2 linked regions of the Kluyveromyces lactis genome follow. The protein of the gene in region 2 purifies or fractionates together with the protein of the main gene of each other region. This does not show direct contact. Links are inferred from orthologs where the notes say so. Each region holds a gene or a part of one and is shown on either strand. Other genes may lie near its edges.

Region 1 (4,348 bases), on a different chromosome or scaffold from region 2:
AACTTCCAAGGTGTCATCGTCCACCATTCTCCAGTTGGGTTCTTGAACAGTTGAAACAATAACTCCACGTTCGGCAAGCATAGATTTCAGTTCATCATCAATTTTGGGACCACCATCTCTTGTAATTTCCAATCTAGGAGGGGTAGGTACGTTGCTTGCCGCCAGCAACCTGAGACACAACCTTCTATCCCACAATACTTTTTGCATAATCAAATCATTAATGATATATGGTTTTCTTAACTTGACATATTTGATAGCCTTTTCTAGAGGGAACCCATTGGAAAAGAATGATATTAGAAAGTCGCAAGTAGGCCAGTTTTCAATGCTTTCATCCAATATAACTTTATCGCCAAAAATTATAGTCTCAAACTCACCGTGTTCAATTAGTCTGTTTAAGATATGTCTGCATGGCTTGGATAACACTTTCGCATCCATGGCACAAACACCAATTTTACCAATCTTTGGTAGCTGAGGCTTGGACGAGGAAGTTGAAGCTTTCCTCGAAGAATTTGTCGAACTTGGAGTTGTTGATCCGTCAGTGTTGGTTGTGACAGCTTCATTAGAGACTAATGCTTGCGGAATGAAGGGGAATGCATGAGGTTCTTCCAGCATAGGAGATGGACTAGGCGATCCTTCCAGAATAGCAGAAACTGATGCTGATCCACTTTGGTTACTTTTCAGTCTTTGAAGCTTGTTACCATTCATGCTATCGAATGAGGTGCCTAGGACACTGGGAGTCATATGACGACCTGTCGAACCAGTAGAAGAAATACTAAGCGTTCTGACGAGCTTATTTGTCTCATCATCATCATCAGAGGTAAAACCAGCAGGTGGCAACTTCAACGACTTATTCTCACTAGAAGAGGTCTTCGGCGTGAACCCTTCAAGGATAGGAGCGATCGATTCCATAGCCTTTTTCGTATTCGAATCTAAAAACAGTGGAGGCATGGTATTTCCGTTGATTGCCTCTTGACCCTCATCAGAAATTGAACCTGGAGAAGACATGACTGGCAGTTCTGCAATTTGATTATAACCAATGCTGAAACTTCAGTTAAAATTATTTTGTAGATCGTTGCAATTAATCGATTTCTGTTATAAGCGGATGCATGGTACGATTATTCCCCATGTGTTTAATTTTGTATATAAATTTATATGTGAAGGATAATAGTGAAAACTTGATAGAAAACTGTGAGTAATTCTGAAGTAAAGACCAGTATCTAAGCAACACCTCCATGTGTTTCGCTAGTGAGATTTCAGACTGTGGTATGGTTACTATCTAATGGCATCTAATGGTGAAGTTACATAGTATCTTCTCTATCCAAGTCTAAGAATCACATTTGCAGGTTGATCCCCCTTATGTGTCACGTGATATTCTGATTTCTTTTTCTGTTTCAGCGATGAAAATTTCGAAGCTCGACGTTTTAAAGAAGCGATGAGATGAGATGAGATGAGATAGATACCTATCGTCAGCAGCTAATTACTGGATTCGCTTGTTGTTCAGTTAATTAAGCGATTGCATAAAGTCACAGAACAGTGCATTAGCAATCATGACAGTGGATGGATCGTTAAAGAAACGAAGAGTTGGTTCTTCCGGCGCTGTTAGGAAACATGCTTCCAGAATATTTTCTCCGTATAGAATTGTAGGTAATGTATCTACTGGAGTTCCTTATGCGATTGGTACCCTAGGTACGACCTTCTACATTGTGACTTCTGTTGGTAAGTCGTTTCAGATCTTTGATGCCAATAATTTGCATCTGCTATTCGTTTCAGATAAGGAGACAGAGGGAGACATTACTTGTTTGGCAGCGCATTTTCATTACGTTTATGCAAGTTTTAAGAATAAAGTTGGGATCTATAAGAGAGGTAAGCTAGAACATTTGATTGAATTACCTGATCCAAATACCGTGGTGACCAAAATTAACGTTTTCGGTGAATATTTGATTGCTTCTACAGATAATAATGTTGTTTATATCTATAAGAAAAATTCCCCATCTGATAAATTCGCTACTGAATTATACACCAATTTCACCATTGGTAAGTTACAAGGTGGTGATATTGTTGATTTGGTGCATTTACCAACATATGTTAACAAGTTGCTCGTTGTGACTAAGTCTAATTTCACCTTGTTTAACGTTCGGACCGGAAAACAATTGTACACTTCCGATGAGTTCCCCGATGAGATCACCACTGCTGAACCTGCACCTGCTTTAGACATCGTTGCCTTTGGTACATCATCTGGTGAAGTTATTTTATTCAATTTGCGTAAGGGTAAGAAAATCAGAACCATTAAAACGCCGACGAGAATTTCTTCAATCTCTTTCAGAACGGATGGTGCTTCTCATATCTCAGTAGCATCAACCAGTGGTGATTTGATCTTTTATGACTTAGATCATCGCTCACGTGTTCAAGTGTTAAAAGGCATTCACAAGGAAGTGAATGGTGGTGTTGCAAGAGCATCATTCTTGAACGGTCAGCCGATCGTTGTCACTTGTGGTGGTGACAACCAGTTAAAAGAGTTTGTTTTCGATCCATCCTTATCGCAAGGTGACTCTGAAGTGGTCATTCAACCAGCCAGATTATTAAGGTCAAGAGGTGGTCACTCTCAACCTCCATCCTCTATTGCATTTGCTGACGATCAATCTCATTTCATTCTTTCTGCTTCAAAAGATAGATCTTTATGGGGGTTTTCCTTAAGAAAAGATGCACAATCGCAGGAATTATCGCAGCGTCTGCATAAGAATAAAGATGGAAATAGGATTGGTGGAAGCACCATTGGTGAGAAGTTCCCTGAGATTACATCAATAGTCATCGAAAATAACAGACAAGGCCAATGGGAAAACATCTTGACGGTTCATAAAGGGGAAAAGTTTGCAAGAACATGGAACTCGAGAACAAAAAGAGTTGGTAGGTGGACAATCCCAACTAATGATGAGGGGTTTGCGAAGAGCGTAGCTATATCACAATGTGGTAACTTTGGTTTAGTTGGCTCTTCAAACGGTGGTATTAGTGTTCACAACTTACAAAGTGGACAGAAGAGAAAGGTTTATCGTTTACATAAGAAGGCAGTTACTGGTATTGCAATGGATGGTATGAACAGAAAGATGGTGTCATGTGGGTTAGATGGTATTGTCGGATTTTATGACTTTTCCAAAAGCACTTTTTTGGGAAAGTTAAAGTTGGATTCACCTATAACATCAATGGTATACCATCGATCATCTGACCTCTTCGCATTAGCATTAGATGACCTTTCCATTGTTGTCGTAGATTCGGTTACTCAAAAAGTGGTCCGTCAACTCTGGGGGCATTCCAATAGAATTTCATCATTTGACTTCTCACCTGATGGACGTTGGATCGTTTCTTCGTCATTAGATTCCACAATTAGAACCTGGGATTTACCAACAGGTGGATGTATAGACGGTATGAAAGTGGAAAATGTCATCACTAACATTAAATTCTCACCAAATGGTGACTTATTGGCTACCACTAGTGTATCTGGTAATGGTATTTCCCTCTGGGCTAATAGAGCTCAGTTCATTTCAGTATCAACCAGACAGATCGACGAAGAAGAATTTGCCACTGTTATGCTTCCAAACGTTTCCGGAGATGGTGGTTCCAACTTTTTGGAAGGGGCTTTTGATACAGAGGAAGATGATTCCGAAGATCTCTTTGGTAAATATGACTCGATGGAGCAAATTGATAAAGATTTATTGACTCTTTCTTTGGGACCAAGGAACAAGATGAATATCTTACTCAATCTCGATATAATTAAACAACGTTCGAAACCAAAGGAGGCTCCAGTTAAACCAGAGCAGGCTCCATTCTTCTTACAACTTGCAAAAGATAAGGTGGGCGATGAGGCTTCAGCCAGGGAAGGCGCTGAGAATTTGAGTTTGGATTCCTCTAAACTACAACAGGAGCGAAATGCTGCCAAAGCTAATGCTGCTAGTGAACTGAATAAATTCAAACCTTCAGGAAAACTTGGTGCTCAGTTCGAATCTGATTTCACTAAGCTACTTAGAGAAGGTTCGCAGAAAAACGATTATTCAGCATTCCTTGACGAATTAGTCCAGATGACTCCCTCAAATATTGATTTGGAGATTCGTTCTTTGAAAGCTTTTCAACCATTTGATGAGCTATGTCGGTTCATTGAAAGTTTGGCTCAAGGTTTGGCTACCAACAAGAACTTTGAGTTATATGAGGCATATATTACCATCTTATTCAGAGTGCATGGTGATGTAATTCATTCTAATAACACAAATCAAAATATCAAGACTGCTCTGCAACATTGGGATACCAATCACCGCAAGGGCCAATCATTGGATGAATTGGTAAAATTCTGCGGCAGCGT
Region 2 (4,110 bases):
CTGTTAAATTGGTCCTTTGACTTCACTTGTTGTAGATGAACAGACGTCTTGTCTTGGAACCTGGAAAAGTCATCAAAGCTTTATATTCGCTGTCACACGAGTTGTTATTCTTCTTGGAATAACTAAACAACAGACTGCTTCGATATCTGTATTCCCTATCAAACACTTCGTAAGTACTTCCTCCAAATATCTCTCTCTCGGGATCTAAGTCTGAGTATGGGTTAACATTTTTATCCTCTTTTAAACTCTGTTTAGGAGCACTACCATCACTAACGATATCGAGTCTTTGTATATCTTCACAGATACCTCTTGTCGGATCATTACTTCCTTGCGGAGACTCAGTGACGCTGCCATGTAGGTGATCCTGGTTGTCGCAGTCACAGTCACGTGTAATTAATTCAAAACCTTCGGTATCAGATGAATCCATAGTGTTTACTAGCTATATATAGCTAGTGTGTTGATGCACCTGGCGATCTGTCATGACTGTGTTGATGGTCTTTCCCCAGATCTATGGCCTCTTTATATAATAACTCAGATTGGTTAATGATGTTTCATGTTGATACTTGACCGTCTATTGTTTCTAATCCGTCTCAACAGATAACCCGCCGAATGATCTAAAAAATCTGTAAAATTTGTAATAGATTTCGTGCCTCCTTAGCTTAGTGGTAGAGCGTTGCACTTGTAATGCAAAGGTCGCTAGTTCAATTCTGGCAGGTGGCATTCATCTTTTTCAATATCCAATCTGACCTTCCTCGAATCTATTTTTTTTTTCTTAAAGTAACATTGTGCACTAAAACTAGCAATACGGTACGTCTAAAACCATGTATTCCCTATATTACTACATATCGGGATAGTACCAGTTCCAGCACTTGAGTTGGACTTGGCTTTAGTCCAGTATGACTCTATGTATCTGACTATCTAACTGATTATTCAGAGAGACTGAGATTGGACACGTCGTATAAAGTGACAGACGCATCAAAATCCTTCACATCGAATTTTGGAAAAATTTGCCAGGCGATGAGCTTTAAAGGTTTAAAGAATTCGCATTTACATAGAATGAACGTACCCATAGGCAGGTTTATCACAGTGATTTTGTTTGGATTTCCCTCGTATTAGTTTGCTAGATATTAAAAGGGTAATTCTCTTCTGTTTTGGCTAGGGGAAATTGAAACCCTAGGACTCGGGCACTGGCTATCATTCTGTATTATAATCAATCCAGAGGCGCAAACGGTCAGGAACTAGTGAATTAAGTGGATATTTAGTGAACTATGGCCTCTGTGAAACGTGTAGCACCAGATGGTGAGAAGTCCAGGAATGGTAGTTTCACCAAGAAGGCGCTTGTAAAAGCTATTACTGGCTCACAGGCTGAAAATGACAGTGACAAGACTGGTTCTTCTTCTTCTGGAGAAGAAGAAGAAGAAAGAGAGGAAGAGGCTACTGCCTCTTCCAGCGGGGAAGAAGACGAGGAAGAGGAAAACACACATGACCATAAGGCTAAGAAGCCAAAGTTGAGCTCCCAGGATATACAAATAGCGAGAGAAACGGCTGAACTCTTCAAATCGAACATTTTCAAATTACAAATCGATGAGTTATTGGAACAAGTGAAGTTGAAGGACTCACACATCGTAAGGGTGGAGAAGTTTTTGCATAAACTATATGATATGATACAGGAAGTACCGGAATGGACTCCGCAAAGCTTAGAAGATGTAGAGAAATATTTCCATGGGAAAGTGGTATCAGTTCCGTTTGTGGATCCAAAACCACAAGCGAAGAACACACAGTACAAATTCAATTATTTAAAGCCGGACGTGAGTTTAATTGGATCATTCGGGTTGAAGACTGCCATCTACCAACCTCAGGGCTCCGCAGTAGACGTTTTGTTGACTATGCCTGAGCAGTTGTTCGAAAAGAAAGATTTCTTGAATTTTAGATGTTTCCACAAGCGTTCAGTATACCTCGCGTATTTGACTCATCATATCTCACTCGTCCTGAAAAGAAGCCAGCTGGATTTCTTACACTTGGAATATTCATACTTTAACAACGATCCTTTACAAACGGTATTAAAGATAAGTTGTAAGGAGAAAACTTCATCGGACTATAATTTCTACAAGACTAAATTCAGCATAAACTTGATCGTGGGGTTCCCATACAATTTCTTCGAATCAAAGAAGTTGCTACCCAATAAGAACTGTATCAGAGTCGGTCAGGATAACGAAACTCCGACACCTTTCTACAATTTCTCGGTATTATCATCTTCTTGTCACGAACACTATTTGAAGTACTTACACAAATCAAAGAAACAAACAGAACAGTTTAAACAGGCTTGTATTTTGGGGAAGCTATGGTTATCTCAGAGAGGCTTCTCATCAAATATGTCTCATTCAGATGCGTTGGGTGGTTTTGGAAATTTCGAGTTTGCCACGTTGATGGCAGCCCTACTAAATGGTGGTGGGTTGAATGGTAACAGAATTTTATTGCATGGGTTCTCATCTTACCAATTATTCAAAGGTGTAATCAAATATTTGGCCACAATGGATCTTTGTACTGATGGGTACTTACAATTCTATTCCGACTATAGCACTACTGCAACTGTCACTTCCTCAAAATACGTTGAAGAAGGTTTCCAAACACCTACAATCTTTGATAAAACCACCAAAGTTAACATACTGAGTAAAATGTCTGTTAACAGCTATCAAATGCTAAAGATCTACGCGCAAGAAAGTTTATTGATGTTGAATGACGTCGTCAGAGATCAGTTCGAAAACATGTTCTTAACTAACTTAAACAAGATCAAGACAGTGAAATATGATGCTTACTATGATTTAGATATCCCATCCATCAATTTACTACTGTCCAAGTTCGGTCCCGTTGAAAAGATTAGCTTTATATCATTCGAAAATTTCATCTGCAATAAAGTATCGAACATCGTGAAGATTGCCCTTGAGGATAGAATCAAAGCTTTTGAAGTGGCTCTAGTTAACAATAGATCTACTTTCCCAGTAACAAAGAGAAAAGTTGCTGCTGTTCCAAATTTCACTTCAATCCAAATTAAACTGTTGATCAACCCTGCAGAATGTGAGAAGCTTGTGACTAAGGGCCCAGAGAACACAGAAGAATTAACTAATGAAGCTAATGAATTCAAGATTTTTTGGGGTAAAAAAGCATCTCTTCGTAGATTCAAGGACGGTTCCATTGCAAACTGCTGTGTCTGGTCAACTTCTGCTATTGAAAGTGTTGTTTCTTCGATTTTGTCCTATGTTCTAAGGCTACATTTGACTGAAGACTGCAAACTCATCAATAATTCCACTAGCCAATTCCAACAGTTGTTACCACTACCGAACCTACCTGCATCTTCAAAGACATCAGTTCTAAACCTATCAAGCTACTATAACTTGAAGAAGTCCTTTGACGATTTGTATAAAATCATGTTCGAGCTAAAACTCCCATTATCAATTAAATCTCTTTTACCTATTGGTTCTGCATTCAGGTACACATCATTATGTCAGCCTGTCCCATACGCATATTCTAATCCTGATTTCTTACAAGACGTTGTTATCGAATTCGAAACGTCTACAAAATGGCCTGACGAAATTACTTCGTTGGAAAAGGCTAAAGCTGCATTTTTATTGAAGATTCAAGAATCCATCACGCAGACTCATAGTGAGTACAAGTGCTACTTTACACGTGATGAATCGATTCCATACAACTTGGAAATAGTTACTCTAAACATTTTGACTCCAGAAGGATACGGTTTCAAGTTTAGAGTTCTAACTGAGAGAGACGAAGTTATGTATTTGAGAGCAATTAACAACGCAAGAAAAGAACTAAGACCAGAGCTGGAAAAGACATTCTTGAAATTTACTGCCAAGTACCAAGCTGCTATTAGACATACTAGAACTTTGGAAAACATTTCCCATAGTTACCCATTCTACTCTCCAGTGGTAAGACTATTTAAGAAATGGCTAGATTCTCATCTCTTATATGGCCATTTGTCAGAAGAATTGATTGAGCTTATTGCCATTAAGCCATTTGTAGAGCCACGTCCATTCACCATGCCAGGTTCCGTTGAAAATGGTTTCTTGAAGATCTTATTATTCCTCGCAAACTGGA

The links.
Region 1: the proteins of UTP22 (region 2) and UTP21 purify together in Saccharomyces cerevisiae (affinity purification with mass spectrometry; 5 studies listed by BioGRID). This does not show direct contact. The link is inferred for Kluyveromyces lactis from reciprocal best matches to the Saccharomyces cerevisiae genes UTP22 and UTP21.

The regions. Positions count from the first base shown.
Region 1 is NC_006038.1:252,900-257,247, forward strand, and holds the start of UTP21 (rRNA-processing protein UTP21), read left to right. Parts: upstream 1-1,547; coding exon 1,548-4,348. Other genes in the region: inositol polyphosphate kinase VIP1, read right to left, coding at 1-1,005. UniProt on the Saccharomyces cerevisiae protein: Involved in nucleolar processing of pre-18S ribosomal RNA and ribosome assembly.
Region 2 is NC_006040.1:1,246,723-1,250,832, forward strand, and holds the start of UTP22 (rRNA-processing protein UTP22), read left to right. Parts: upstream 1-1,268; coding exon 1,269-4,110. Other genes in the region: KLLA0_D14762g (uncharacterized protein), read right to left, coding at 23-427. UniProt on the Saccharomyces cerevisiae protein: Involved in nucleolar processing of pre-18S ribosomal RNA and ribosome assembly.